7 linked regions of the Macaca mulatta genome follow. The protein of the gene in region 7 interacts with the protein of the main gene of each other region in a pairwise test. Links are inferred from orthologs where the notes say so. Each region holds a gene or a part of one and is shown on either strand. Other genes may lie near its edges.

The links.
Region 1: the proteins of NECAB2 (region 7) and CCDC146 interact in binary tests that used the Homo sapiens proteins (3 or more experiments, as listed by UniProt). The two-hybrid records come from large-scale screens. The link is inferred for Macaca mulatta from reciprocal best matches to the Homo sapiens genes NECAB2 and CCDC146.
Region 2: the proteins of NECAB2 (region 7) and KLC4 interact in binary tests that used the Homo sapiens proteins (3 or more experiments, as listed by UniProt). The two-hybrid records come from large-scale screens. The link is inferred for Macaca mulatta from reciprocal best matches to the Homo sapiens genes NECAB2 and KLC4.
Region 3: the proteins of NECAB2 (region 7) and KPNA2 interact in binary tests that used the Homo sapiens proteins (3 or more experiments, as listed by UniProt). The two-hybrid records come from large-scale screens. The link is inferred for Macaca mulatta from reciprocal best matches to the Homo sapiens genes NECAB2 and KPNA2.
Region 4: the proteins of NECAB2 (region 7) and NTAQ1 interact in binary tests that used the Homo sapiens proteins (3 or more experiments, as listed by UniProt). The two-hybrid records come from large-scale screens. The link is inferred for Macaca mulatta from reciprocal best matches to the Homo sapiens genes NECAB2 and NTAQ1.
Region 5: the proteins of NECAB2 (region 7) and KANSL1 interact in binary tests that used the Homo sapiens proteins (3 or more experiments, as listed by UniProt). The two-hybrid records come from large-scale screens. The link is inferred for Macaca mulatta from reciprocal best matches to the Homo sapiens genes NECAB2 and KANSL1.
Region 6: the proteins of NECAB2 (region 7) and NEK6 interact in binary tests that used the Homo sapiens proteins (3 or more experiments, as listed by UniProt). The link is inferred for Macaca mulatta from reciprocal best matches to the Homo sapiens genes NECAB2 and NEK6.

What each region holds. Positions count from the first base shown.
Region 1 is NC_133408.1:142,434,930-142,438,982, forward strand, and holds the start of CCDC146 (coiled-coil domain-containing protein 146), read right to left. Parts: upstream 2,801-4,053; 5' UTR 2,700-2,800; intron 1-2,699. Other genes in the region: protein FAM185A, read left to right, coding at 3,307-3,757. UniProt on the Homo sapiens protein: Essential for sperm flagellum biogenesis and male fertility.
Region 2 is NC_133409.1:139,056,935-139,060,403, reverse strand, and holds part of KLC4 (kinesin light chain 4), read left to right. Parts: intron 1-1,628; coding exon 1,629-1,730; intron 1,731-1,969; coding exon 1,970-2,143; intron 2,144-2,530; coding exon 2,531-2,630; intron 2,631-2,822; coding exon 2,823-2,875; intron 2,876-3,107; coding exon 3,108-3,178; intron 3,179-3,399; coding exon 3,400-3,469.
Region 3 is NC_133421.1:77,786,212-77,790,433, reverse strand, and holds the start of KPNA2 (importin subunit alpha-1), read right to left. Parts: upstream 2,801-4,222; 5' UTR 2,697-2,800; intron 1,419-2,696; 5' UTR 1,396-1,418; coding exon 1,321-1,395; intron 1,172-1,320; coding exon 1,034-1,171; intron 1-1,033.
Region 4 is NC_133413.1:133,845,073-133,848,572, reverse strand, and holds part of NTAQ1 (protein N-terminal glutamine amidohydrolase), read right to left. Parts: intron 1,414-3,500; coding exon 1,314-1,413; intron 1-1,313. UniProt on the Homo sapiens protein: Mediates the side-chain deamidation of N-terminal glutamine residues to glutamate, an important step in N-end rule pathway of protein degradation.
Region 5 is NC_133421.1:71,124,842-71,128,866, reverse strand, and holds the start of KANSL1 (KAT8 regulatory NSL complex subunit 1), read left to right. Parts: upstream 1-1,225; 5' UTR 1,226-1,258; intron 1,259-1,609; exon of another isoform or gene 1,610-2,035; intron 2,036-2,786; 5' UTR 2,787-2,897; coding exon of another isoform or gene 2,898-2,920; intron 2,921-4,025. UniProt on the Homo sapiens protein: Non-catalytic component of the NSL histone acetyltransferase complex, a multiprotein complex that mediates histone H4 acetylation at 'Lys-5'- and 'Lys-8' (H4K5ac and H4K8ac) at transcription start sites and promotes transcription initiation.
Region 6 is NC_133420.1:23,495,493-23,499,631, reverse strand, and holds the start of NEK6 (serine/threonine-protein kinase Nek6), read left to right. Parts: upstream 1-1,339; 5' UTR 1,340-1,461; coding exon 1,462-1,534; intron 1,535-4,139. UniProt on the Homo sapiens protein: Protein kinase which plays an important role in mitotic cell cycle progression. Required for chromosome segregation at metaphase-anaphase transition, robust mitotic spindle formation and cytokinesis.
Region 7 is NC_133425.1:79,364,322-79,367,078, forward strand, and holds the end of NECAB2 (N-terminal EF-hand calcium-binding protein 2), read left to right. Parts: intron 1-370; coding exon 371-448; intron 449-1,294; coding exon 1,295-1,386; intron 1,387-1,800; coding exon 1,801-1,829; 3' UTR 1,830-2,257; downstream 2,258-2,757. UniProt on the Homo sapiens protein: May act as a signaling scaffold protein that senses intracellular calcium.

The sequences.
Region 1 (4,053 bases), on a different chromosome or scaffold from region 7:
ATAACCACTGTTATCAAGTAGTATATATCCCTCTGGAATTGTTTCTGTAAAGTATAATTCTATGTTAAATTTATTATTATTATTACACAATTGGGATCATACTGTACATGCAATTTTGTATCGATTCTTGTCACTTTATATATGGAATATTTCCCATATCAAGATATAATGTTTAAATTGTTGCATAATATATCAGATATATAATAATTCATGTAATACTCTCTTATTTGGGAGCATTTAACTTTTTTTTTTTGAGACAGTTTCACTCTTGCTGCCCAGGTTGGAGTGCAGTGGTGTGATCGTGGCTCACTGCAACCTCCACCTCCTGCGTTCAAGCAATTCTCCTGTCTCAGTCTCCTGAGTAGCCGGGATTACAGGCATCCGTCACCATGCCCAGCAAATTTTTTAAATTTTTAGTAGAGACAGAGTTTCACCATGTTGGCCAGGCTGGTCTCGAACTCCTGACCTCAGGTGATCCACCCATCTCAGCCTCCCAAAGTGCTGAAATTACAGGTATGAGCCACTGCACCTGGCCAGGGAGCATTTAAATTGATGCAATTATTTTCTTTTACAAGTAACCCTATAAAATGTAATTTCTTGAGTATCCCTAATTTTATGCTTACATCCCCAAAAGTACAATTTCTGAGTCATGGAAAAAGTTTTTCATGCTTATTGCTGAATTGAACTCTAAAAATTTTGTACTAACTTAACACTCCTACCAGAAGTATATGTTCATGACCACAGAAATGACTTTTTAAAACTAAGATGTGAAAATATCTTAGAAACAAACTCTAAATAAGGAGAAAAAAGTTGTATATAATTTTCTACTTATGAGGTGAATAATTTCATTTTTTCTTCAAAGGTGTCAGGAAAATAGAAGGACATTTTGGTAGAGTGATAAAAGGGCCAGATCTTCTAATTGCTTAATCTTAATGTTTCTGAATCTGTTTCCTCATCTATAGTATGAGGAGAATAATTTCCCACTTAATTAGCGAGGATGCAGTGAGATGATGCATGTGAACATGGTTTGACAACTATGTCATATAGATGGAAGATATAACTTTTATTAATCACTGTTTATATGTGGACAGATTTGATACTCATTATACTGTTTTTAAATGTCCATAACTTTAAATATTTTATATCAATCTTAATAATAATTTTCTCCATTTTCAACCTCATGTGATCAGAAAAGTCAATTTTCAATCAATTCTATTTGTTTTTTGAAAAAGTAAAATAATGATTATGCTACATAGAAAATTATAGTTCAGTTGCCAATTCCATTAACTTAGTTTGTCTCAGAAAAGGAAAAATTACTATATAAACAGAATTATCTATTAAGAATTAATATTTAATCTAAAAATGTCTAGTGCCTCTACAGAAAATTTGAGTACATTCTCAACTTCCTTAAACCAGTGCCTTTTTCAAATTTCTTTTCAAAGTTACACCTGTCAGTTTTCACTAAAAAATAGTTTGAAGATTATTTTGAATAATTATAACCAATGAAACACAAAGGCAAGAATAGAACTATTGCAGTGGGCCCTTGCTGAACCTGAGCTAGCACCTATAATGAGTCAGTCCTCACTGAAGGAGGAATGAGGAGGGAAGAAGGACTAGAAAGACAGAAAAGAGGCAATCATAACTTAAGAAAACACTGAATTTTTAAAAAGATAGTGGCTGGCAGAGTACCTTAGACTTGTACCCAGGAGGGCGTTAGCCCAGTCTGTCTATCACGATTGCCCCAGGAATTCTAGTCATTGTACTTGGGCAAGAGCTTCAATTTTTTAAGGCACTTGCATTTTATGAAACGTTAGTGTTTGCAGGTGTCTTGGCTAAATAATTTAGGGAATAAATTTTAGGAGGAAGTAGCGGCACAGAAGGGGAGAGAGAAACCAGGCAGGAAAGAAGAAAATAAGTCTTTCTGTTCCCATTACTTTACTTCCCATAGAATTATACAAGGTAAACACACACACACACACACACACACACACACACACACACACACACACCCCTTGTAGGGTCATTGAGAACCATCTTTCTTCATTTTAAAACTAAAGAAACAGGTCTAGGTGACACAGATGAAGCAGTGGCAGAGCCAGGAAAATAATCTGACCCTTGTCCCTGTTCTTTCCACCGCACCATGGTAACTCCCTTTTTTGTGTCTTTTTTTTGTTTTGTTTTTAAACACTCTAAAACTGAGGATCATTTGTAGTCAAAGAGATCAATGCTATTCTCAAAACAAGTTCTGATCTCTCATAATTTTCTTGGTAACTCAGAATCAATGTTAAGTACGTTGAAATAAAAATGCAGTACTTTACACGGTAATTTTGTAGACTGTGCACCACGTTCCCATCCATTTTCTTACTTGATCCTTACAAAAACCCTTTGAGGCAAGGCAAGGCAAGTATTATTATCTTCATTTTTAAAGTGAGCAAATTAAAACCCAAAGAGTAAGGTCACTTAGGGTCAGGAAGGAGCCAGTACTCTATTCCTATATTTGAAATATAGGAGGGAATACACTTCCAAAGAGGCAATTCCCTCAAAAAGCACCAAGAGTAAAGGCTCTTTACTCTCTTGCCAAGGCATTCTCTATCCCCTGGAGACGCCTGCACTAGGTTAGTGAAGCATGGGTCTTGACACCCACAGAGGTTACTCCTAGTTTGCACCTAGTTGTCATCTTAAAAAGCGCAGTTTCTTACCCCTTCCCTTGGTCCTGATCCTTATTTTAGGCTTTTTGGGATTTGGCCTCCTGGGTCTCACTTCGAAGCTCCACCCTCGCCAAACAAGAAGTCGCGTCCTTGGTATCCAAGGTGACCGCGCAGCTTTACCCACGTTGCCCCTTTCGTGCTTTCCATTGGCCAGTTGGACTCCTATGTACCGCCCCTCCAATAGCCAATGGTCTTGAGGCAAAGGGCGCCCGCCTTTCCCAGGGAGTCTAACACATGCCCTTTTACCCGGGCTCCCCTGCGCATTGCCTCCTGGGATATGTGGTTTCTAAGATGCCAGAGCTCTGCGATGTTCCACCCCTTTACAACTACCTATCCCGTCCGCCTTAGCGAAAGGGGCGGGCGTAGGCTAGGAGTCCGGGTCAGAGTTTAGAGCTTTCAAATTGCAACTTGCCTCTGGGGCTTGCGTGGCTGATGTTTAAATTGCCTAGTCAAGCGAACCGGCTCCCTCTTGCTTCAGCAAACCCTGACAGACGTCTCCTATTTGACTTGAGGCGGCATAGTGGCCAAGTCGATTGGCCGTGGCAAGTGACCCTCCCTGTAGCTGAAGTGTTCTAAGGACTGGAGAGAGGGGCGCGCCATGCTTGCCCCCTGCTCAGGTTGGGAGCTTGGCTGCCTCCGTCTCTGTCTCCGTCAGGTCCGATTGTGGGCTGGCACTGGGCGCTGGGCTTCCTGGGCTTGCCAAGCCAGGCCGTACGGCTCAGGTCGGGGCAAGCCCTGGCCCGGATCGGAGGCTGAGGTCCCTCCGCCTGGCCCGGCGCGCCGGACTCTAAAGGAGTGGACGCTGCAGGTGAGCCCGTTCGGTCGGCTGCGGGCGCGGCTCCCGTGCCACCTGGCCGTGAGGCCCTTGGACCCCCTCACCTACCCGGATGGCGACCGCGTGCTGGTCGCGGTGTGTGGCGTGGAGGGCAGCGCGCGGGGCCTGGACGGCCTGCAGGTGAAGTACGACGAGGCTCTGGAGGAGATGGCCATTTTGTCTGACACTATCGACCCCCAGGCGTTCGTGGAGGTGAACGCGCCCCTGAAGTTTGGCAAGTGAAATGAAGTGAAAACGGGTTTGGGTCCCAGGGCACGCACAGTGAACTTACTAAATTTGGTCGACTTGCACTTTTAATTGGTCCTGGCTTTCTAAACCTAATTTACAGTTGGCACCTTCGGAAATGCACCTTTTCCTCTGTTCTATTCTTGAGTATCCGAGTAGTATTTAAAAATTAGGTTGCCTAACTAAAAATTTGTTATAGAAATTTTATACATCGAATGGAAACATGATTTGGTATAATCCAGGTCAAATTATATTTCTGGAGCCGCTTGTGTTCTCCTTTATCCC
Region 2 (3,469 bases), on a different chromosome or scaffold from region 7:
TGAACCTAGGAGGCTGAGGTTGCAGTGAGCCAAGATCATGCCACTGCACTTCAGCCTGGGTGATGGGGCGAGACTTTCTCTCAAAATAAATAAATAAATAAATAAGTACAAATAAATAAAAGGAAAGAGAGAAACAACCTTAAGTAGGGATATCAGCCGGGCGCAGTGGCTCATGCCTATAATCCCAGCACTTTGGGAGGCCGAGTTGGGCGGATCACAGGGTCAGGAGATCGAGACCATCCTAGCTAACATGGTGAAACCCTGTCTCTACCAAAAATGCAAAAAATTAGCCAGATGTGGCGGCGTGTGCCTGTAGTCCCAACCACTCGGGAGGCTGAGGCAAGAGAATGGCGTGAACCCGGGAGGCGGAGCTTGCAGTGAGCCGAGATTGCACCACTGCACTCCAGCCTGGGCGACAGAGCAAGACTCTGTCTCCAAAAAAATAAAAAAGAAGGAAAAAAAAAAGGTAGGGATATCACACCAAAGCAAATGATAGAGTTGTCAATGTACAGAAAATGAAAAATGAAAAGTTTTTTTTGTTTTGTTTTTTGAGACAGAGTCTCATGGTATCACCCAGCCTAGAGTGCAGTGGTACAATCTCGGTTCACTGCAACCTCTGCCTCCCAGGCTCAAGTGAACCTCCTGCCTTAGCCTCCCAAGTAGCTAGGATTACAGGTGCATGCTACTGTAATTTTTGTATTTTAGTAGAGATGGGTTTTCACCATGTTGGCCAGGCTGCTCGTGAACTCCTGACCTCAAGTGATCCACCTACCTCGGCCTTCCAAAGTTCTGGGATTACAGGTGTGAGCCACCGCACCCAGCTGAAAAGTTATTTATTTTTTGTTGAGATGGAATTTCACTCTTGTTGCCAGGTTAGGGTGCAACATGGCATGATCTTGGCTTACTACAACCTCTACCTCCCGGGTTCAAGCAATTCTCCTGCCTCAGCCTCCCAAGTAGCTGAGATTACAGATATGTGCTACCACGCCTGGCTAATTTTGTATTTTTAGTAGAGAGAGGGTTTCTCCATGTTGGTCAGGCTGGTCTTGAACTCCTGACCTCAGGTGATCTGCCCTCCTCTGCCTCCCAAAGTGCTGAGATTACAGGCATGAGCCGCTGCGTCCGGCCAAAAAGTTATTTTTGAACGTGATCTGTGTGAAAATAATTCCCTATGGTATGACATATGATAGGCAGGGATGATGTATCTCAGAAATCATCCTCCTGTCTTGATATCCCATCAAATATCAATGCTTACATTTAGTGTTTGGATGTCCGGCAGGACATTCAAAAGTTGGCAGAGCTGTCTCACACATGCAGAACATCTATAGCGTTCTTGCCTCCTCAAAGGTAATCATCATGGCAACTAAAAAAAAGGAAAAAAAACAACAAAAAAAAACCACCTCCAGAAATTTCTTAAAATCCCCTAGAGGGCGATACTATCCCTTAGCCTCAGAGCCATCCTGTTGAGCGGTTTCCCCTCCCTTCAGCCCCTGGCTCCAGGGTAGTAGAGTCTTTGTCTCTTAGAGTTGTGCAGTGATTGTGGGGCCCTGCTGGGAGGTGGGGAACCTCAGATTCCCATAGGTCATTTGCAACCCAAATGTCTGATGGGGACCGGCCTGTCTTCATAGGTGGCTGCCACACTCAACAATTTGGCTGTGCTCTATGGCAAAAGGGGCAAATACAAGGAGGCAGAGCCTCTGTGCCAGCGGGCACTGGAGATTCGAGAAAAGGTACCCATGCCCTCTCTCCCTTCTTCCCTTGTTGCTGTTACCCTTCTCTACATGGCTTCTCTGGTCTAACACTCCTCTTTCACTTTTTTTTTTCTCACCCCCATCTCTGCCTTGTTCTCTCTTCCTTCATTCCCGTTCCTCTGCTTTCCACATGTGTGTGCCTACATGCAAGCAGACACGTGTGCTTGTGCACACACATGTAATCATAGCCATTTATCCACTCCTTTGTTCCCTTTCAGGTCCTGGGCACTAATCACCCAGATGTGGCAAAGCAGCTGAACAACCTGGCCCTCTTGTGCCAAAACCAGGGCAAGTATGAGGCGGTGGAACGCTACTACCAGCGAGCACTGGCCATCTACGAGGGGCAGCTGGGGCCAGACAACCCTAATGTAGCCCGGACCAAGAACAACCTGGTATGGGAGGAGGGGACAAAGTAGGTGGAATGAACGGGAAGGAGAGGCCACCTGGGTCCTAGAGTTAGGAAGCATCACAATCTGGCACACTACTCTCATCAAGTTTGTGCCCATTTCTGGGGCTGCCTTTGCGGATGAAGGATTTGCTTCGTTCTGGTTATAGAAGCTCCACAGCTTCTTGAGAGTGGGCTGGGAATACCCTTGACCCTGCACCTGGAGAAGGAGGTGTGAGAAAGATCTCTGGGGAAAGTCACAGAGACACCGAGAAGTGGAACTCCCTGAGCCTGGTGAAGACGTTGTCTGGAAAAAAAAAAGAAAAAAAGAAAAAAAAAAGACCTTGCCTCCCTCCATGTTTTGTTCCTGTATTTTTGCCTTTCTGTCTTCTAGGCTTCCTGTTACCTGAAACAGGGCAAATATGCTGAGGCTGAGACACTATACAAAGAGATCCTGACCCGTGCCCATGTGCAGGAGTTTGGGTCTGTGGATGGTGAGTGGTGAGGGCTTGGGGAAGGGGCTGTGGGAAAGAAAAGAAATGCAGACCAAAGGTCGGGGGTTAGGCCACAGTGGTTCCCAGGGGGAGCCAGACCCCTTCAGTCCAGCCTGTCAGCCTCTGGGTCCTGGCTCTCCGACACTGTCTAGCTCCGATCTCTAACCTCCCCACCCCGTGTATCACCCCCAGATGACCACAAGCCCATCTGGATGCATGCAGAGGAGCGGGAGGAAATGAGCAAAGTGAGTGGGGGGAAGGGGGGCCAGCCTGGGGAGCTCAAGGCTACCAGGGTCTCTGTCTTACTCCTTCCATTAGCCCAACTCACACTTCCCACCCCAGCACCAGCCCCAGATGCATGGTGTCCTCCCCAGCCCAGCCTGCACCCTAGCCCCATGCCACCGTGCATCCCAGCATCTCTGTATTCTTATCTTTGGCTCTCCCTGCCCTTCTCTCTGGCCTCTCTCTGTCCTGCAGAGCCGGCACCATGAGGGTGGCACACCCTATGCTGAGTATGGAGGCTGGTACAAGGCCTGCAAAGTGAGCAGGTGAGCTGCCAGTGAAAAGCCAGCTTGGCCTCTGATGCCCTCCATCCAGGCTCCCGGCCTCCCAGACCTTTTCCCTTCCTCCCGTAGACTTTCCCTGAGCTTTAGCTCTGTTCCCTCTCCTATTTTCTTATTTTTTTTTTCCTCTTGTCTTGCTTGGAAGACAAATGTTTTCTTTTCTGAACCCATTCTCTCTTCCTTCTCTGGTCTGTTTCTCACCACAGCCCCACCGTGAACACTACTCTGAGAAACCTGGGAGCTCTGTATAGGCGCCAGGGAAAGCTGGAGGCTGCT
Region 3 (4,222 bases), on a different chromosome or scaffold from region 7:
CACAGAAAGGAGGAAATGATAACTTAGGAGGCTACCGTAAATATTTCAGAAGGAAAGTCCTGAACAAAGCTGGTGACAAATACAAAAAAAGAGAGAATACCAAAAAAGGCAGAAATAAACCAAAAACGGGCAGGGCCTGGTGGCTCACGCCTGTAATCCCAGCACTTTGGGAGGCCAAGGCAGGCATATCACGAGGTCAGGAGTTCAAGACTAGCATGGCCAACATGGTGAAATTCTGCCTCTACTAAAAATACAAAAACAGACCGGGCAGTGGCTCACACCTGTGATCCCAGCACTTTGGGAGGCCGAGGCGGGTGGATCACGAGGTCAGGAGATCAGAGACCTTCCTGGCTAACATGATGAAACCCCGTCTCTACTAAAAATAGAAAAAAATTAGCTGGGCAGGGTGGTAGGTGCCTGTAGTCCCAGCTACTTGGGAGGCTGAGGCAAGAGAATGGCGTGAACCTGGGAGGTAGAGCTTGCAGTGAGCTGAGATCACACCACTGTACTCCAGCCTGGGCGACAGAGGGAAACTCAAAAAAACAAAACAAAACAAAAATACAAAAACTAGTCAAGCATGGTGGTGCGTGCCCGTAATCCCAGCTACTCAGGAGGCTGTGGCAGGAGAATTGCTTGAACCCAGGAGGCAGAGGTTGCTGTGAGCCAAGATTGTGCCACTGCACTCCAGCCTGAGCAACAAAGCAAGACCCCGTCTAGGGAAAAAAAAAAAAAAAAGAATAAACCAGAAACTGGTTGGCTCTGGACACAGTGGTCAGGTCAAGGTACCCAGTTAGCAGCTAGAAATGCAGGGAAGTCTGAAGGAAGGTCAGAGCTAAAGGAAGATCCTAAATCAGCTTCAGTGGATTATGGAAGGCAGGAAAGAAGACAATTACTAATTGGGAACAGAGAAAAAGATCTTCACAGATAGTTACAACCTAAGGCTAAAAATGTTAAGTTTACTTGAATTTCTAAGAAAAGTTCCTACTGATTTTCTGGATTTCACGTAACTCATAAACCAAAATACATTTTTTACCTGGTTGTTGCGGTTTTCCTGCAGCGGAGAAGTAGCATCATCAGGAAATGAGCTTACGTTTCTCCTCTTCAGCATCTGGTCATCCTTCTTAGCTTTCCTCAGCTCCACATTGACCTCTATTCTGCGACGCCTCATTTCCTTGAGAAAAGATAACATGCCGTTTCACCTATCACATCAGTTTTTGTTGCTAAGTGAGGGTATTTTTAAAAAGATCCCTAAGTTTTCACCCCTTTCCAAATGTCCTCCCATTTAAACACCACCACAGGAAAGCAACAGAAGGTACTCACTGTACTGTCTTTTCCCTTGTTCTTGAATCTGTGAAGACGGGCAGCTGGTGTATTAGCATTCTCATTGGTGGACATGGTTATGAGACAAAGGGAGAAAGCTAAAAGATGGGCGAGGAGAAAAAATATTTCCTTTATCATTTTCCTTTGTCAATAATAGTACCAAATAAGAATTGAATTATCAAGCATCTACTGAATCCACACCTGTATACTAGAGGGGGGATCATCATGCTTTCAGCACTATGAAATAGCTTTACCCAAACGGGAACTGTCCCCCTTCCCTCTGAAGCGCTGAGACTTCCTGGAGAGGGCTGTCCATCAGAAATAGAATGCAAGCTATATAAATTGAAACTTCCTAGTAGCCATACTTTTTAAAAGGCGAAAAGAAACAAGTGAAACTAATTTCAATAATTTATTTTACTTAACCCAACATATCCAAATAGTATTTCAACATATATATTTCAATATATAAAATAACTGACATCTTTTACATTCTTTTTCCATACTCTATCTTTGAAGTCTTTTGTGTACTTTAAGCTTACAGCGTATTTCAATTTGGACTAGCCACGTGTGTCCACCGTTTCTGACAGCCTGGCTCGATACTCCAGAGTCCCTAATAGTTAATCCAAGGCAAAGCAGGGGAACCAAGTTAACTTACAGCTAAAAATTATGTGCCAGGGCAATAAATTCAGATTCTCAGGAGGCTCGCACTACTTTACTGTCTTTACTTGGCCAAAATAGGTGCAGATTCGAAAACTAAAAAAAATTTGCTTCATCATTACATTATGGTCAACATTAAAAATGCAGTGCCGCATGTCGCATATTTGATTTGCATTTCCAGAGACTAGGAGCGAATGCACTTAATTAGGACGACATCAGCTGTGCGTCATTCAGAAGACGACAAAAGTCAAAGCCCTCCTTACAATTTGCTATCTTTGCTTTCATTACGCTCGCCTACGACTTGGTGGCACAGCCACCCCGGGGCCAAAGTGTCAGAGACAGTGCTCCCAACTGCCACCCCCAGCCCCTGCCCCTGCCCCTACGTCGGGGAAGATGCAACAAGAAAGGGGGAAGCGAGGCCAGGGCCGCCACGAGCCCTCCCGGGACATTCGCCCTCAGGCCTGGCTCGCTCCGATTCTCCCGGCCGCGACGCGTTATGGTCTCCGCTGCCGTTTGAAGAGCGTCGGCGCCCTAAACCCGCAGACCCCGCGAAACTCAGCCGCCTGGTCAATGAACCAGTCGCCCCCGAGGCCTAGACAACGCGGGAGGCTGAGCCAGGCTCGGCGTGGACCCGGGGCCTCCTTCCCCCCACCCAAAGGCGAACGCCGCCCGCGGGCAAACCGTTAGCGCTCGGGCCGAGCCGCCGCCTGAGTCTGTACCTGAGAAGCGGGCCCGGGCTTCCACGGGAGGCGATGCGGGGAATCAGCGGCTGTGGGACGGCTGCGCTCAAAGGGTCCACCTCGACTCAGCTCAAAGACCGTGTGGCTCGTGCAGCCGGCCGGCGCGATTTAAATTTCCCGGTGACTCCGCATTCCGATTGGCTGGTTCGAGCCCAAGCTGTGTGCCCATTGGTGGATTTGAAAAACACGTTGAGAGGGGAGGGAGTCATAGGGCTTAGGGGCGAGTGGGAGGGGGGAAAAAAAAAAAAAAAGGAGGATGGCATCGCGAGATGAGGGAGCAGACGGGCGGTTCCCGAGCGCCTGGCAGGGCGGAGCGGGAGGACTCCAGATCCCGTCAAGCAACGCGAAGGGGCGGTCCCTGGGCCTTTCGTGTTTCCACTGGGTTGAAGCGCGCATGGTCCCTGGGCGTTTTCCTGGGCGAGAGCCTTAAACAAATACCGCAAAATGATTCTCAAAGTCATTATTTTAAAAAAACTTTGTTGTTGATCTTCATGAAAATTAAAAAATGATAATTAGTAAATAAGTAATCTTTATAGAAAGACATATTGCTTTGCATTTTTTTCCTGTTACGATATCCGAAGAACTTGGCAGGGGTTTCTGGCCACTATGGGAGGGAAGATTTATGTTATATTTTTTAGTTTAGTTTTTTTTTTCAATTGCGTCGTAAAAGACTGTATAGAAGCCGCAAATATAGTAACAAAATATTTCTTATTCCTGTTTCTCCAAACACTCAAGTTTTGTATTTTTAAATAATTTCAAATGCAGCAGAATTGCAAATCCTTATCCAGATTTGCCAAATGTTAACACATTTGCTACTGCTGTCTCTATACATATATATGTATACCTATGCACATGTGTACCTATGTGTGATTTCAATATGTTACTTTTTGAAACATTTGAGAGTTTCAGAATCATGTCCTTTTTCCTCTGTTTCACGGTGTATCTCCTAAGAAAAGACATTCTCTTACATAACCACACTGCAGTCGTCAAATTCAGAAAAACTGAAATTTCATGCTGTTGTTTAGTATGTAGTCTGTGTTCAAGTTTTGTCAATTGTTCCAGTAACATTCTATGCTCGTTACACATTTCTGAATTTTGCATTTTTTGCCATATGCTCAAACGAAGAAACAAAACAAAGATGGTCAACAGAGCATCAGGATTATGGGCCATTTTTGTTTCTGCAATTTTTTTGTGTTCTAAAAGATTACATTTTAGAAAAGTTGTCATGGTTTATTTCTTACTATAAATAAATTCAAACACCAAATTTGTCCATTCTTGCAGTCATTAATGCCAGCCTCATTCATTGTATAGCAGCCAGAGTTCATAAAGGGTTGCACCTACTCTTAATCAGCATAATCCCATCCCCCTAAATGCAAGAATGTGGAAGGAATTCACCCCTAAACCAATCACTGTGAGGCATTCTCTCAGCTACTGAGAATGGTTCAGGGGCAGGCACATGACCTAAATTCATCCAGTTGGACAGCCCGTGCCTTTTGTTTACTGGT
Region 4 (3,500 bases), on a different chromosome or scaffold from region 7:
ATCTAAATCCTTCTAAGTATCCCCAAGAATGAAAGCTCTCAAGAGCACAAGTTATTGTATGATGGTCTTCAGAGAGTGAAAAGGGATCTGAACTAGGAATCAGAAGTCCTTGCAGGTATCAAGTCTTGCTTTCCCATTTAATTATTCATAGGGCCACCCTAAGTCTTAATTTTCTCATCTATAAAATGAAGCAAGTTGTCCAAACCTTGCCTGCCTTCACAGGGCTTCCATTGGGATCAAATGAGATGATGCCTGCAAACGTGTTTTACAAAATACGAAGGGCTTCCTTTTTCTAATTCCTCATATAAGTTGACTGTAGTTCTATTTAAACTCCAGAGACAAATCCTTATTTTAAAACTGAGAGTATGCATATCTAAGCAATTTTTTAAAAGTCTACATCTTCCATCTTGAATTTAAAAAAAGAAAAAAAAAATGGCCAGGCACAGTGGCTCACGCCTGTAATCCCAGCACTTTGGGAGGCCAAGGCAGGCAGGTCACCTGAGGTCAGGAGTCGGAGACCAGACTGGCCAACGTGGAGAAAGCCTGTCTCTACTGAAAATACAAAATTAGCCAGGCATGGTGGTGGGCACCTGTAGTCCCAGCTACTCGGGAGCCTGAGGCACAAGAATCCCTTGAACCTGGTAGACAGAGGTTGCAGTGAGCCGAGATCGTGCCATTGTGCTGTAGCCTGGGCGATAGAGCGAGACTCCGTATCAAAAAAGAAAATAAAAGACAAACAACAACAACAACAAAAAAAAAACCAGGTCTACATTAATGCCTAAAGAAAAGGGACTTAATCTGTGTAGACCATCACAAATTTCCTTACCTAAAATAAGGGACTAAACTGGGCATGGTGGCTCACGCCTGTACTCCCAGCACTTTGTGGGAACAAGGCGGAAGGATCACTTGAGGCCAGGAGTTCGAGAACAGCCTGGCCAACATAGCAAAACCCCAGCTCTACTAAAAAATACAAAAATTAGCCTGGCGTGGTGGCACATGCCTGTACGTCCCAGCTACTCAGGAAGCTGAGGAAGGAGATGAACCCGGGAGGTGGAGGTTGCAGTAAGCCAAGAATTGCACCATTGCACTCCAGCCTGGGCAACAGAAGGGACTCAACTCATCTAACTCAATCATGCCTTGTAAGGAAAAAAATCTCATTCAAAAGAAAACTTTTAAATGTTGCTGTATTTTATAAAGCACACTTCAGAAGAGTACTACACCCATGCTATATTTTGCTTCTTTTTTTAAATTTAATTTAGCTTCTAATGTCATGTTAAATCTCGTTTTCTTCCTGCACTCACTCACCAACTTACCATCTTCCTCTCATTAGATATGAAGACAGCATAACATTCTTGCAAAGGATACTGGTCATGGTTTTTGATGTATTCACAGAGCTTCCAAATATTTTCTTCACTGAAATAAAATAATTGTTTAATCAAGATTAGAGAACATCTATGTGTCTTTTAAATTTGAACAAAATACTGATGATGGCATCAAAAAGTTGGAAAAGACCTTAAACACCATGCCATCCAACAACTAGCTAACGTTTGAATCTCCTCTAAAACATCCCAACAAGCTGGTATTCAACCTATACTGTGTGTAAACCCCTCTCCACATAGAGGTGATTACCTTCCCCAGCAGTGCTTGTACATGGAGGCATTTTATAACTGATAAAATGTCAATATTCTATGAGTTTTGGGCCCAGCAACTTGAGATACAGCTGAAATTCTAACTCAGTCACTTACAAGGTAAGAACCTTTGACGGAGGACGGGCAGGGTGGCTCGGGCCGGTAATCCCAGCACTTTGGGAGGCCAAGGCGGGCGGATCACGAGGTCAGGAGTTCAAGACCAGCCTGGCCAAGAGACCAGCCTGACCAATATGGTGAAACCCCGTCTCTACTAAAAATACTAAAATTAGCCAGGTGTGGTGGTGGGTGCCTATAATCCCAGCTACTTGGGAGGCTGAGGCAGAAGAATTGCTTGAACCTGGGAGGCAGAAGTTGCAGTGAGCCAAGATTGCCTCAGCCTCCTGAGTAACTGGGATTATAGGTGCATGCTCCTATGCCTGGCTAATTTTGTGTTTTTATTTTTATGCGTTTTTTTTAGATGAAGTCTCACTGTGTCACCCAGGCTGGAGTGCAGTGGTGCGATCTCAGCTCACTGCAACCTCTGCCTCCCGGGCTCAAGCGATTCTCATGCCTCAACCTCCCAAGTAGCTGGGATTACAGGCTTGTGCCACCATGCCTAGCTAATTTTTGTATTTCTAATAAAGACAGGGGTTCATCATGTTGGCCAGGCTGGTCTTGAACTCCCGACCTCAGGTGACCAGAGGTCTTAAACTCCTGACCTCAGGTGATCTGCCTGCCTCGGCCTCCCAAAGTGCCTGGATTACAGGCGTGAACCATCTTGCCTGGCCCCTTTGTATTAACTCTAAGCCCACCCTTACAGGGGAATGAACAAAGAGAAACTACAACCTATACCTCTTCCCATATCCCTCCAAATTAATGACTCCCTCTTCTTTTCTGCATGCATCTTTTATGGCCTTCTATGATGCCTGCCATTTATGGATTTGTATGTCTCTGCTCATGGTCTATAAGCTCTAATTTATCATCATATCCTCCAAGCACTTAGCACAGTATTTTGTACATTATAGGCTCTTGAAGATATTTGCGGTAAACTCCCCAAAAACTTCTATAAGCTAGACAGATAAGTGTCTTCTTCAAACCTGGCCTTAGAACATTTAGAATAAGGAAATTTTATCTACTATATATATGCCATATGTGATGCTGAAACAGTCAGTAATTTTTTTTTTTTTTTAAAGGTTGTCTCGCTCTGTCACCCAGGCTGGAGTGCAGTGACACAATCTCGGCTCACTATAACCTCCACCTCCTGGGTTCAAGTGATTCTCCTGCCTCAGCCTCCCAAGCAGCTGGGATTACAGGCGTCCACCACCACGCCTGGCTAATTTTTGTATTTTTAATAGAGACAGCGTTTCACCATGTTGGCCAGACTGGTCTCAAACTCCTGACCTCAGGTGATCCACACGCCTCAGCCTCCCAAAGTGCTGGGATTACGGGGGTGAGCCACCATGCCCGGCCCAATCAGTAAATTTTTATTAATCTATAGTACATATCATATGAAGTAGTCAGTATCAGTAGCAATCTCCCTCTCTCCAACTTTTTTTTTTTTTTAACCACAACCATCACTTTTCCCTTGTGGTTTCCTATTTATTTTAGAGAAAAAGAAAACCATGGGAGAAAAATATGTCCAACTGCCATATTTTAAGCCTAGTCTTATGGAGCATTGAGACAGGTAAGGCAAAGATTGATGAACTGAAAGAGTGTCTACTTCCATAAGATGGTGACCATCCTCAGGGCTGTTTATGCCTTGCTTCATTTTTAGGTAGCATGGCATGGATGAAATTAGGCTTTGGGCCGGGAGTGAGGGCTCACACCTGTAATCCCAGCATTTTGGGAGGCCGAGGCAGGTGGATCACCTGA
Region 5 (4,025 bases), on a different chromosome or scaffold from region 7:
TTTCACCATGCTGCCCAGGCTGGTCTGGAACTCCTGACCTCAGGTGATCCACCTGCCTTGGCCTCCCAAAGTGCTGTGATTACAAACATGAGCCACCGCGCCCGTCCTCTCTCATAGTTTTATTGTTCTATTTTCCACAGACCCTTCCTTCCTTAATTTTCATGCCTCTTTAATATTCTGTTTCTTTTACCTCACTGACCTTCTTTTTCGTTCTCCTACCTTTTACCGTGGGTGTCTTATTACCCTGCTTAGGGAGTTTAGCATGTCACAGACCACTATCTTCAGGCAGAGGACCCCACATAGTCTCTAGTCCTGATTGTCTACCCTCTCTCAAGTTCTGTAACTTCAGTTGCCTCTAGGACACCTTCACTGGGTTTTACAAAACCCTGTTACCTGGAACTGAATATATTAAAAGCTAAGATTCCTCCCCAAATCTGCATGTTGTGCCAATTTTCCTGGCCAACTATCTTATCTGTCCCCTGGTTTTGGGACCTTATTTAAACCTTTAAATCAATTTTTAAAAAATTGGAATCTTGATGAATGGTGCAAAAATCAATGGATACAAAGGATACGCCGAGATATGTAAGTCTTCCGCCCACTGGTTCCCTAGGCACTCAGTTCCCCTCCCAGGAGGTAACCACTGTTGCCAGCTCTTAAGAGTGATTTTTGATTCCTTCTTCTGCCGGCTCTATCTCAAGTCCTTCCCTGTCTGTGAGATGTGTGCCCTTTCCTTTCCAGGCCCTAGTGAACTGATATCTGGTTGAATTTATATATAAATATTTATATGTGTATATTTTCTATACATATATAACATCTCTCCCTATGGCCTTCCGGCCTGGAGTTTTCATCACGTCGCTTCCTGGATGAAGGAACCTCGAGGGGTGAGGGGCAGGGGTTGGGGGTGATGGAGAAGAGAACCTAAAGGGGACTTAGGTAGGGGGTTCAGAGTGGCCAACTGGCGTGACGCTCTGGCAGGATTCCTATTCCTATTCCTCCCACCTCAGGCCCGCTTCTAGTCCTCTCATCCAAAAGCCTCTCGTTTCCAAGGGCCGAGACAGAGACAGAGACAGCGAGATACACAGAGACAGAGACGCCGAGGCACCAGCATCCCTCTCCCCCTTCGGTCCCGCCCCATCTCTCTGACGGACACTATCGCTCAGCCAATGGCGCTCACGATATGCCCCTGAAGGGCCAATGAACGCCAGAGGAGGGCGGAAGATTCCCCGCCCCCACTTCTAGGCTTGGTTGAACCGTGCAGGTAGGTCCGGGGCTGGGGGAGCTGTCTTTGGCACTGGTGCCCCTGGGGGTGGGGGCACGAGTGGACAGGGGTGATGGTGAGGTAGAGGCGGCGGCCCCGACACGACGAGCTCGAGGGAGCGGCCCGGCTGGGAGGCGGGGGGCGGCGGGGCCCGGGGAGCGGGCGCCGCCGAGGGCCCTGGAAGCGGCGGGGCTCGGGGAGGGACGCGTGTGTGGGGCACGGGGACCCCCGCCCAGCGCCCACTCGTAGGCCTGGGCCGCAGGCTGCCGACCGAGTGGCCGGGGGGCCTGGCTGCCCCGGGGGCGGGCCGGGGCCGCGGCCGGGGGCGCGGAGCGGAGCTCGGGGCGCCAGGCCGAGCCGAGGTGGGACGGACCGACGCGGAGAGGAAGGGAAGCCGCATCCCGCGGGCCGCCCCTCCTGAAGCGAGCCGGGCAACGGCCGCGGGCGCCCCTGCCCTGAGCCCACCCCGCGCTCTCCCCTCCCTAACAATGGGAATGGGGCAGAAGGAGGCGCCCCACTGCGGAGGGGTGAGGGGTAGGTTTGGGACTGGGGTCCGCGGTGGGGGGAGGTGCGATCTCGGGCTCTCGCCTCTCCGCTCCCTCTGGCTCTGGAGTTGGGGGCCCTGGTGGGGCTTTGAAGCCTGCCTGAGACTTGGGTCAGGAGTCAAACTGCCGCCCCCCGCTCCTCCCCCAAAATCCGGTGAGCGGTAAGGAAAGTGATGCCAAGTCTTCGAAGCCTCAGTGACAAACGCATAGCAAGAACACATCCACTCCAGAGGTGTTTATTTTTTATTTTTATTTAAATAAGGGTACTTTTCGACATTTGTTTTTAACGAAGTGGGTGCTGTTATTTTTGTCCCTACGCGGGCAAGCCTCCATTTTAAGCGAAGCAGTAACTGGTTAAGCTGGAATTGTATTCAGGCCCAGGACTTGAACGAGGATCCTACTAGAGGTCATTTAGTCCATCCTCCAGCCTCCAGGCAAATTTACCTTCCTCCTACCCTCAAAATTAAGTTGCTCGGTCTGCTTTTAACGATCTCTGGGGAAGAAGGGTATTTTATTTGTTTCTAGTACTTCAGTCAAGAATAGGTTTTACTTTTCATGTGGAATTGACTCTGAAACTTAAGCATAATCTTGGGACAGTCGGGATGATTAGAGAGGTTTTACTTTACTAAATATAATTAAATGTAGCAAGGGTCTTTTTTTAGATGGTTAGTTAACAAATCACGTTTAGTGTTTATGAGGTACCCTGGAAACTTTATTCTCTCTGGGATTTTGGCTGTTTGATAAGCAATTTTACATTATCTAAAGTAAGTGTTACATATTTATTTCTCTTTTTATATAACGTATGTTTCTACACATATGTACGGAGACACACACACATTTGCCGTTTTCTAAAGGGGACTGTATTTTCTATACTTTTTTAGTGCGATGAGGCAAATAGTACTTCAAAATCCCTGCCCATGTAGCTTAAACTATTTGCATTTTCTTGATTATTTTTTAGTCTAAATGAAAATCCTCTCTTTCAGATACCTTATCGAAACAAAAGATTTTCCTACCTGCTCATACTTGGTAACCGAGGGAATTACTAAGACTTCTTGCTCATTTCTGAGTATTGTCTTTATATCCTGACACTATGAATGCTATTTGGATGCCTCTTAAGGTAAGATGTGTTATTTTTTCATTACCAGCCTCATTTTATTCATTTTTCTTTAGAACTTTGTAATGCTTGTAATTCTTGAATTTGCTATTCTTCAGTTCCTTTACCTGCCATTTCTCTTGCCTCTTGTGTTTGCTTCCTAGGATTGATTGGCTGTACCTTACTTTGCATTGCTACTGTTCTTTGATTATCGGTGTGAACGTTTTAATGAAGTTCTCAAATTAACTTCCATTATAATGAAAGGCAGTGATCTTTTTAACTTTAAATTATGGCAACTTACATAGTTATAAAATTCTGTTCCAATTTTAGGATAGGTTGGCAATTCAGACATCTAGGTCCACTTTTCAAACAGGTACTTTAGAGTCATAGGTACTAGGGTGTGTCCCACTCTTGCAAATCAGTAGCTGATTCATGTGTTACAAAAGATGTGTCATTAACCATTTGTTTACTCTGAAACTGCATATAGTATATTAGAACATTCTAAGACCTGCTGGTTTACACGTATGACTTTTTCAGAGTCCTCCTGCTGCACCCCAGTCCTTTGCGTGACATTTCACACTGTTTTTCTCAACAGGTAGCACTTATGCCAAGTTTATTTCACAGGGTAAACCTCATTTGGACAGTGTGGACAGATGACCTTTAGATGAAAAAGCTCCCATTGATGTGGTGGTTCTCCAGTCTCTTTGGCTTCTCTCATCTTTTATACATAGATGGCCAAAGAACCCTCCATTAGGACTAGGCAAAGGGCAGAGCTTAAGACTGAAATGGGTGGCTTCTTTGATTTTCTTGTGACTAAAAATACATTTAAAAAAATTAAATATTTTTAAATTTTACAAACAAAAACCAAAAAAGACATAAGGAGGGTATGGGAGGAAGGACAGAGAAGGATAAGCAGTCTTGGAAACCCTCCACCAGCTTCGCCTTCCTTCAGAGTTGGATACTAGCTTAGTTAAGATTGTTGTGTGCTAATCTGTTCTGTAGACTTCCAGATTAATGCAGAGGAGAAATCGGACAATAATGCAGTCTGCGTAACCTAAATATCTGGACTTGTGGGAAATCTTAGGTCATGTAGACTGAGTTCTCATCTTCATTTACGTTTCAGCTGCTA
Region 6 (4,139 bases), on a different chromosome or scaffold from region 7:
ACCAGCCTGACCAACATGGAGAAACCCCATCTCTACTAAAAATAGAAAATTAGCCGGACGTGGTGGTGGGCGCCTGTAATCCCAACTACTCAGGAGGCTGAGGCAGGAGAATCACTTGAACCTGGGAGGCGGAGGTTGCGGTTAGCCAAGATCATGCCGCTGCACGCCAGCCTGGGCAACAAGAGCAAAACTCTATCTCAAATAAATAAACAAACAGCAAGAACAGTTATGCTATTCAGCATCTTGCTGGGCCCCGGTGTGGATAGGTGGGGAGCGAGCACAAGGACCAAAGGAAAGGACCCTTATCCCTCCCTGAGCCCACACTGGTCTAATCGGGTGGCACTGCCATCCGATTCCAGTCCCTGGTGAGCAGGGGGCTCCGTGGTGGCTGTGACAAGTTACATTCGCCTTGGAGGTGGCAGCCGGAGCTATTTTTAGAGCAGTGCGTGGTGGGGGAGTTTCCTTTTGGCGGTGTCTGGGGACTGGAGTCTTGGGAAGGGGAAATCCCATGCGGAGACAGAGGCCCTTCTTCCTGCACCCAGCCCAGCCCAGAGAGGCCACCCGGCTCCCTGGAGGCACCGGCACCTCATGTCCGTCCTCAACCCAGAGCTGAGCAGACCTTCCCTGGAGCTTTTCAGGAGCCACTTCAGAAGGTACCCAGACTTTCTCTGCCTCCTGCTATGGGAGCCGCTTGCTCTCAGGGGTGTGTCCAATGATGGATGGGGAACCAGGCCCTAGGGACCTCCAGGGCTGGGGCTCCAAGTACCTCGACCTGGCTGCACCTCTGCCACCCACCACTGCCCATTTGGCCAGTCCCACCAGCCTGGCAGGACCTTTGCCACTAGCCTGGGACCGGGTGGCTGCTGATGGCTGGTTTTACGTTCAGTAATCCCCGCGCTTGGCCAGAACTTCTGAGTTTCCAGGGAAGCAGAAAAAGCAAGTTTTCTTTCTCCAGGGTGGGTTTTGTCTGCCCCTTCCTGCCTGTAGGAAGGAGACAAAATTAGGGGAGACCAGGGGCTTGAAAGCTTTCCCTGCATGGAGGCCACTGGATGGGGAACACCAAAGCCCTCCAGCCCCGGGGCTGTTCCGCTTGGTCCTCCTTCCACTTGGTCCTCCTTCCACTGTCGGTCAGCAGGGTATAGCTGCGGTTTGAGACAGGAGTCTCTGCTTTGAAATTCATCCCTTCCCTTAAGCCCTAGGCTCTCCCCAGGGGCCCGCCCTGGCATGAGTTGGCCTGGGGGGCCAGGCTTCTCCCTCCTGGCCTCAGGTGTTTCTGTACTAAGTCAGCAGCCCCTTACCCAGCCTCTCCTCTGCCACCTGCTGGGGCTGTTCAGTCTCTACCCCCAAGGAAATTTCCATGTTCAAGTAGAGAAGACACAAGGATTAGACAGAGACAGCACGGGTGAGCAGGCTGTGGAGCTGGGAGTGACTGAGTGAGTCCAGGAAGGCTGCCTGGATGAGATGCCCAGGAGAGAAGTTTGCTGGGAGGCAGCTCATTCCAGGCAGGAGGAGCAGAGCCTGCCAAGACCTGGAGGTGAGAGCAAGATCATTTCCCCAATCAGGCAGGGGTCTCTGGGATGAAGGACCTGCTAGCGGGCCTGGGACTCCTAGAGTGAGACCACAGCTTTCCCCAGCTGCATTGTGATCTCCAAAGGATCACCTTAGGCAAACGATTCAAATGCAGACTTTGGAGAGGGTTGGATCTGAGTTCAGAAACGGGCCATGCTGCTTCTCAGCTGCATGAGCTTGACAAGCCATTTAACTTCCCTGCACCTCAGTTTCTTCATCTGTGAAAGTGGAGGGCTTGCAGACCTCACAGCAGGGATATGCTGAGCTGCTGCCTGCAGTTCCCGACACAGAGGAAGCACTCAACAGATCTCAGCTTCGTCTTCAGGGAGGCTGGGAGCGAACCCAGCCTTGACTAAGTCCCAGAGTCAAGAACCTTCTGGGCAGAAGCCAAAATGCCTTGTTGCTCTTTTAACTGAGAGACAAGATGTTTACAGCTCCTGCATTTTCTTCTTCCACAATTGGGTTTTATTACCCGAGGAGGAAGTGAAAGGTGATTGCAATGCTCCTCGATTTTCAAAAAGGCGCTGGGAACCCTGCAGTGTGTGGCCCAGTTGGTTTTGAATCGCCGGTGACTTTTGGCTGATCTGTGACCACAGGGATGCCGAGCCTTCAGCAGAGGTTTCTTGGGGTTGCAGGAGGGTGGGAAGAGCAGGAGGATGGGAAGAGCCCCCTCCACCTACTGGTCAGAGATTCATTCCGCCGACCCCCCCTGGGTGCCCACTTTTTACCAGGCCCTGGGTGAGGCACTGGAGGTTTAGAGATGACCACAAAGGTCAGTCCCTGCCCTTAAAGGCTGGCCGAGGAGGCAGACATGGTGACAAAGGAAGCGGTTTGTGCCCGTAACAGCCCACCTTTAGGGAGAAACCTGTGTAGATACCACCAGATGGGAAAGGGAAGAAGGGGCCTGAGTGCCCCCTGGATGCCCAGTGTGTACTCACAGAGTCCTCGCAGCCTCCCTGCCAGTTCGGGCTGTTCCTCTTTGTGGATGGGGACGTTTAAGGCTCAGGGAGGGGACGGGACTTCCCCAAGGTCCCATAAGAAGTGCCAAGACTATGGCCGGGCGTGGTGGCTCATGCCTGTAATCCCAGCACTTTGAGAGGCCAAGGTAGGAGGATCACCTGAGGTAAGGAGTTCGAGACCAGCCTGACCACCATGGTGAAACCCCGTCTCTACTAAAAATACAAAAATTAGCTGGGCGTGGTGGTGTGCGCTTGTAATCTCAGCTACTCGGGAGCCTGACTAGTGTGTTAGGTCCTCCCTGCCAGCCAGTCTGCCTGGGTGTGGTCGTCCTTCCAGCCCCTGGGCTTGCGCTGAGTTTCTTTCTGCAATTGCTTGCTCTGGCTACTCTGAGAAGCAGGTTCAAATGACAGGAGAATCGCTTGAACCCAGGAGGCGGAGGTTGCAGTGAGCAGAGATCGCACCATTGCACTCCAGCCTGGGTGACAGAGCAAGACTCCATCTCAAAAAAAAAAGAAAAAAGGAGTGCTGAGATGAAGGAGGGCCCAGAGACCCGGTCCTGGCAGATGAGTGGGACTTTGCCCATTGAGAAGCACCAGTGGGTCTTTAGTCCAGGGCTGGTGCATGGAATGACGTGGAAGCGCCAGGTGCTGTGTCGCTGGGGAGGGGGGCCGGTCATTTAATATGGCTGCATATAGGGCCTGGCGGATATTGGGGGCAAATGCATGAGGGCAGGCTTGTGCCAGGTGGTCAGGGAATGGCTTCCTCCAGTGTGCGGACCTTGTGCTGTGGAGTTTCGGGAGAGATCTGCAGGTTCAGGCTTGTGTGTTAGGAAAACCTTTCCATGGCGGGCTGGAGGTTGGGCTGGAGGGGAGTTGGAGGCTGAAGGTGACTGTAGGGACAAGGCCAGCACAGGGTAGAGGCCCCGGGGTGAGTGAAGACATTTGGAGGAACAATGGGTGGGACTGGATGAAGACCAGGGTGGGTCCTGGAAGCTACAGCGGCCCTGTTTCTGGGTAGGCACCACGTGGCCCCCAATCAGCTGGCCTCCTGATCCTGCAGGCCCACCCTGGGGGAGGCCCCGCCACCCTGAGGAAGGGGGCAGCGGGGAACCTGTCTGCATGGCCACCTTCCAGGAGTGGCTCATGGTCCTGCGTCCCTGCACCGTAGAGAAGCCAGGCTTCCGCTGGTCATGGAGCTACAGAATCGGGGTGGGATGAATGGCGTTGCGGGTGGAGGGCTGAGGCGAGCGTGAAGGAACACAGGACCCAGCCGGAAACCAGACACCATCTGTGGCTTGTCCCCTCCAGCTCGACAGGCCCCCATGACTCTGGCCTGAGATCAGGCTGCTTCCTGTCAAGTGATGAATGGGCAACGTCTGCTTATCCTGAGACCAGACAAGAAGGGGGGCCGGGGCTGGGGAAGGGCCCAGCCGCCAGCGCCACAGCTCTGGGCCAGAATTCATTCATTCAGGCATTTATTCACACCCTCTTCCAAGGCAGTTCGGACCAAGGCAGACTTGGTTTCGAGTGTCAGTTCTGCCTGCCGCCTGCTGTGTGACCTGGCACCCGCCACTTAACCTGTCTGAACTTTGGTTTCTCCTCTGAACAATG
Region 7 (2,757 bases):
GGAGTTCAAGACCAGCGTGGGGACCATAGCAAGACCCCAGCTCTACTAGGACATTTTTTGAATTAGCCAGGCCAAGTGGTGCACACCTATAGTCCCAGCTACTTGGGAGGCTGAAGTGATTGTGCCACTGCACTCCAGCCTGGGCAACAGAGTGAGACCCTGTCTCAAAAGAAAAACTACATGTCATTGACAAATAGCTATTGGCCACTATAAGAAACCAGGCCTTGTTCCAGGTGGTGGGGGCACCCTGTTGAGTCTCGCTGGAGGACCAGAAAGGTTGAAGGCAGCGGTTGTGTATAGGGGTGGGCTACAGGACTAGGGTGGCCACGGTTGAGCCCCAGCCTCCCTGCCTGTCTGTCTCCTGTTGCAGCATCACTGCCGTGAGGCTCTCGGATGGCTTCACCTTTGTCATCTATGAGTTCTGGGAGACGGAGGAGGCATGGAAGAGGTGAGACACTGGGTCTCCATAGCAGGTGTGGGGGCTGTCTTCCTGGAGCCAGGAGCTCCTGGTGGGTAGAGAGACCCCCCACCACGCTCTTTCCCTGTAGAGCACCTTGTGGGCCAAGGCACTGCCTTCTTTATCACCCTGTAGAGCTGAGGACCTGACCTAGAAGGTACCTCAGTCCCCATGTGATCAGTTGTTCCAGCGCTTAACCTCCCCCCCAGCTGAGTGCCTTGTAGGAGGGAGGGAGATGGGGTAGGGTGTCATCAGCTCTGATGGGCTTTAGGCCTTTGTCGTCTGCTCCAAGCACATCTGGGACAGGTTGTTCCCCACTCTGGGCGGAGCCTAATTTCTGATGCGCCAGACCCCACAGGCAGGAAGCAGGGCCTGGGGGTAGCTCATGCCCCGATATCCTGCTTCCCCGGTAAACACAGTTTGCAGAGAAACTCAGGACCCCTGTGGGAACAGGGGCTGTCATGAGAAGTGAGGGTGTCCCCTGCCTGTCCGTACTTCAGTGACTCATAAAATGAGGGACTAAAACCCTTCACAGCTGCTGTGTTGTCATCCGTCCCAGGCGGAGGATGGCCCCACTCCTCCTCCTAGGGTAAAACAGGAGGTCGATGCTCTGTGCACTGAGTAGGGGGATGCCACTGCCCATGTAAGGCTCAGTGCCTACCCCAGAGTCAGCCTCCCTAGGCACCCCCTCACCTTCCCACAAAGGCTTGGAGTCCAAAGACCCCCCCCCCCGGGCTTATTTATAAGCTCCCCATTTTGGGCAGAGCTAGGATTAACAGGGGATCCACATGCCAAGCTCCACTCCTGGTGCCCCTAACACATCTCCCTGGATCGCAGGCACCTGCAAAGTCCCGTGTGTAAGGCGTTCCGGCACGTCAAGGTGGACACACTGAGCCAGCCTGAGGCCCTCTCCAGGATCTCGGTGCCAGGTAGGGGGCGAAGGCCTGGAACTGCAGTGGCCACTTGATTGGAGAGCCGGGCAAGAGCCTAGAAGCCACCCCGCCTCTCCCAGGGACTTGCCTGCAAGCTCCTGACCCCAATGCCAGGTGTGCAGGGAGGGTCCTAGGGGGAGAGGAGAGCTCCAGGCTCAGAGCCAGCCCTGAGGTGGCCCCACATCCAGGCATGCCGGCCGGAGCTTGCACCAGAGCACCCCTTCCACAGCCCGCTACTTCTAGCCAGACTGAATTTCCCTTCCCAGGTGTGTGGTTTGCTCCTGGGTGACCAGCAAGCACCCGTGGGTCACATAAGGACTCAAAGCCATCTCCCCACCTGCCCTTCAAGACGGCCCCCACCAGCTACCCACATTCGCACTCCTTCCCTCTAACCTGTCTCTGTCCTTCTAGCTGTTTGGTGCACGGTGGGACGGGACTGACAGCCTCCCAGAGGCCCGCGGAGGAGCCCACCCCTGGCCCCTTCTGCTTGTGAAGGACATCCCCTGTGTTCTAGAAACTGGTGCAGAGGCTGTCTTTTCAACCCGTCTTCCACACGGTGTTTCCCTGCTGTGACGTGAAGGAGGCCTCCCCTGCCCCCACCCGAGAAGGCAGAGCAGTCTCTGTGCTGCCCGGTCCTGGTGAAGCCCAAGGTTGTGGGTGAAGGGGGCGGCTTCCTGGGGCCAGCACCCCCACCTCCTGGTCCTGGCCTCTCCCCGACCCCTCAGACGGCCACGCATGACCCGCACTCACCACGCCCTGCCCTCTTCAGTGACATTCTTCTACCTGGTAGGAGTTAGGACCCTGTAGTGCCCAACCTAGCCAGGCCGCCGCCACTGGGCCCAGGCGCCGAATAAACCCTGGTTGGGAAGGGCTGTGTGCTCTGTGTCTGTTCCTGGTTGACAGCAGCAGGGGCCTGGGCACCCTGCAAGTGCCCCCAGCCTCCGTTTTCTGAACCATAAAATGGAGGTGTTCACTCTATGCGGTATTTTGACACATAGGCTCATGCCTATTCAGGAGCCCAGAGGGCACCACCCCCACCCTCAGGTCAGTAATTCACTCAGAGGACTGGGCGCAACTGTCAAAGTCAAGGTGGATGACAGACAAAATCCAGCAAAGAAAGAGGCTCCCGGAACAGGGGCCAGGCAGGGGCTGCCAGTAAAGGCCACAGACATCACTGAACCCTCCCAGCTTCAACAGACAGAGCATCACCAACCAGGGATGCAGTCCCAAGTCTTACTGGGGTTCGGTGACATAGACACGGCTGACACCTTGTGGCTCAAGCCCCCACCATAAGTCACATGGTTGGCACAGACCACGCAGTGTGGCCCAACTAAGACACTCACCAGGCACGATGCTCCAGGGACGGGC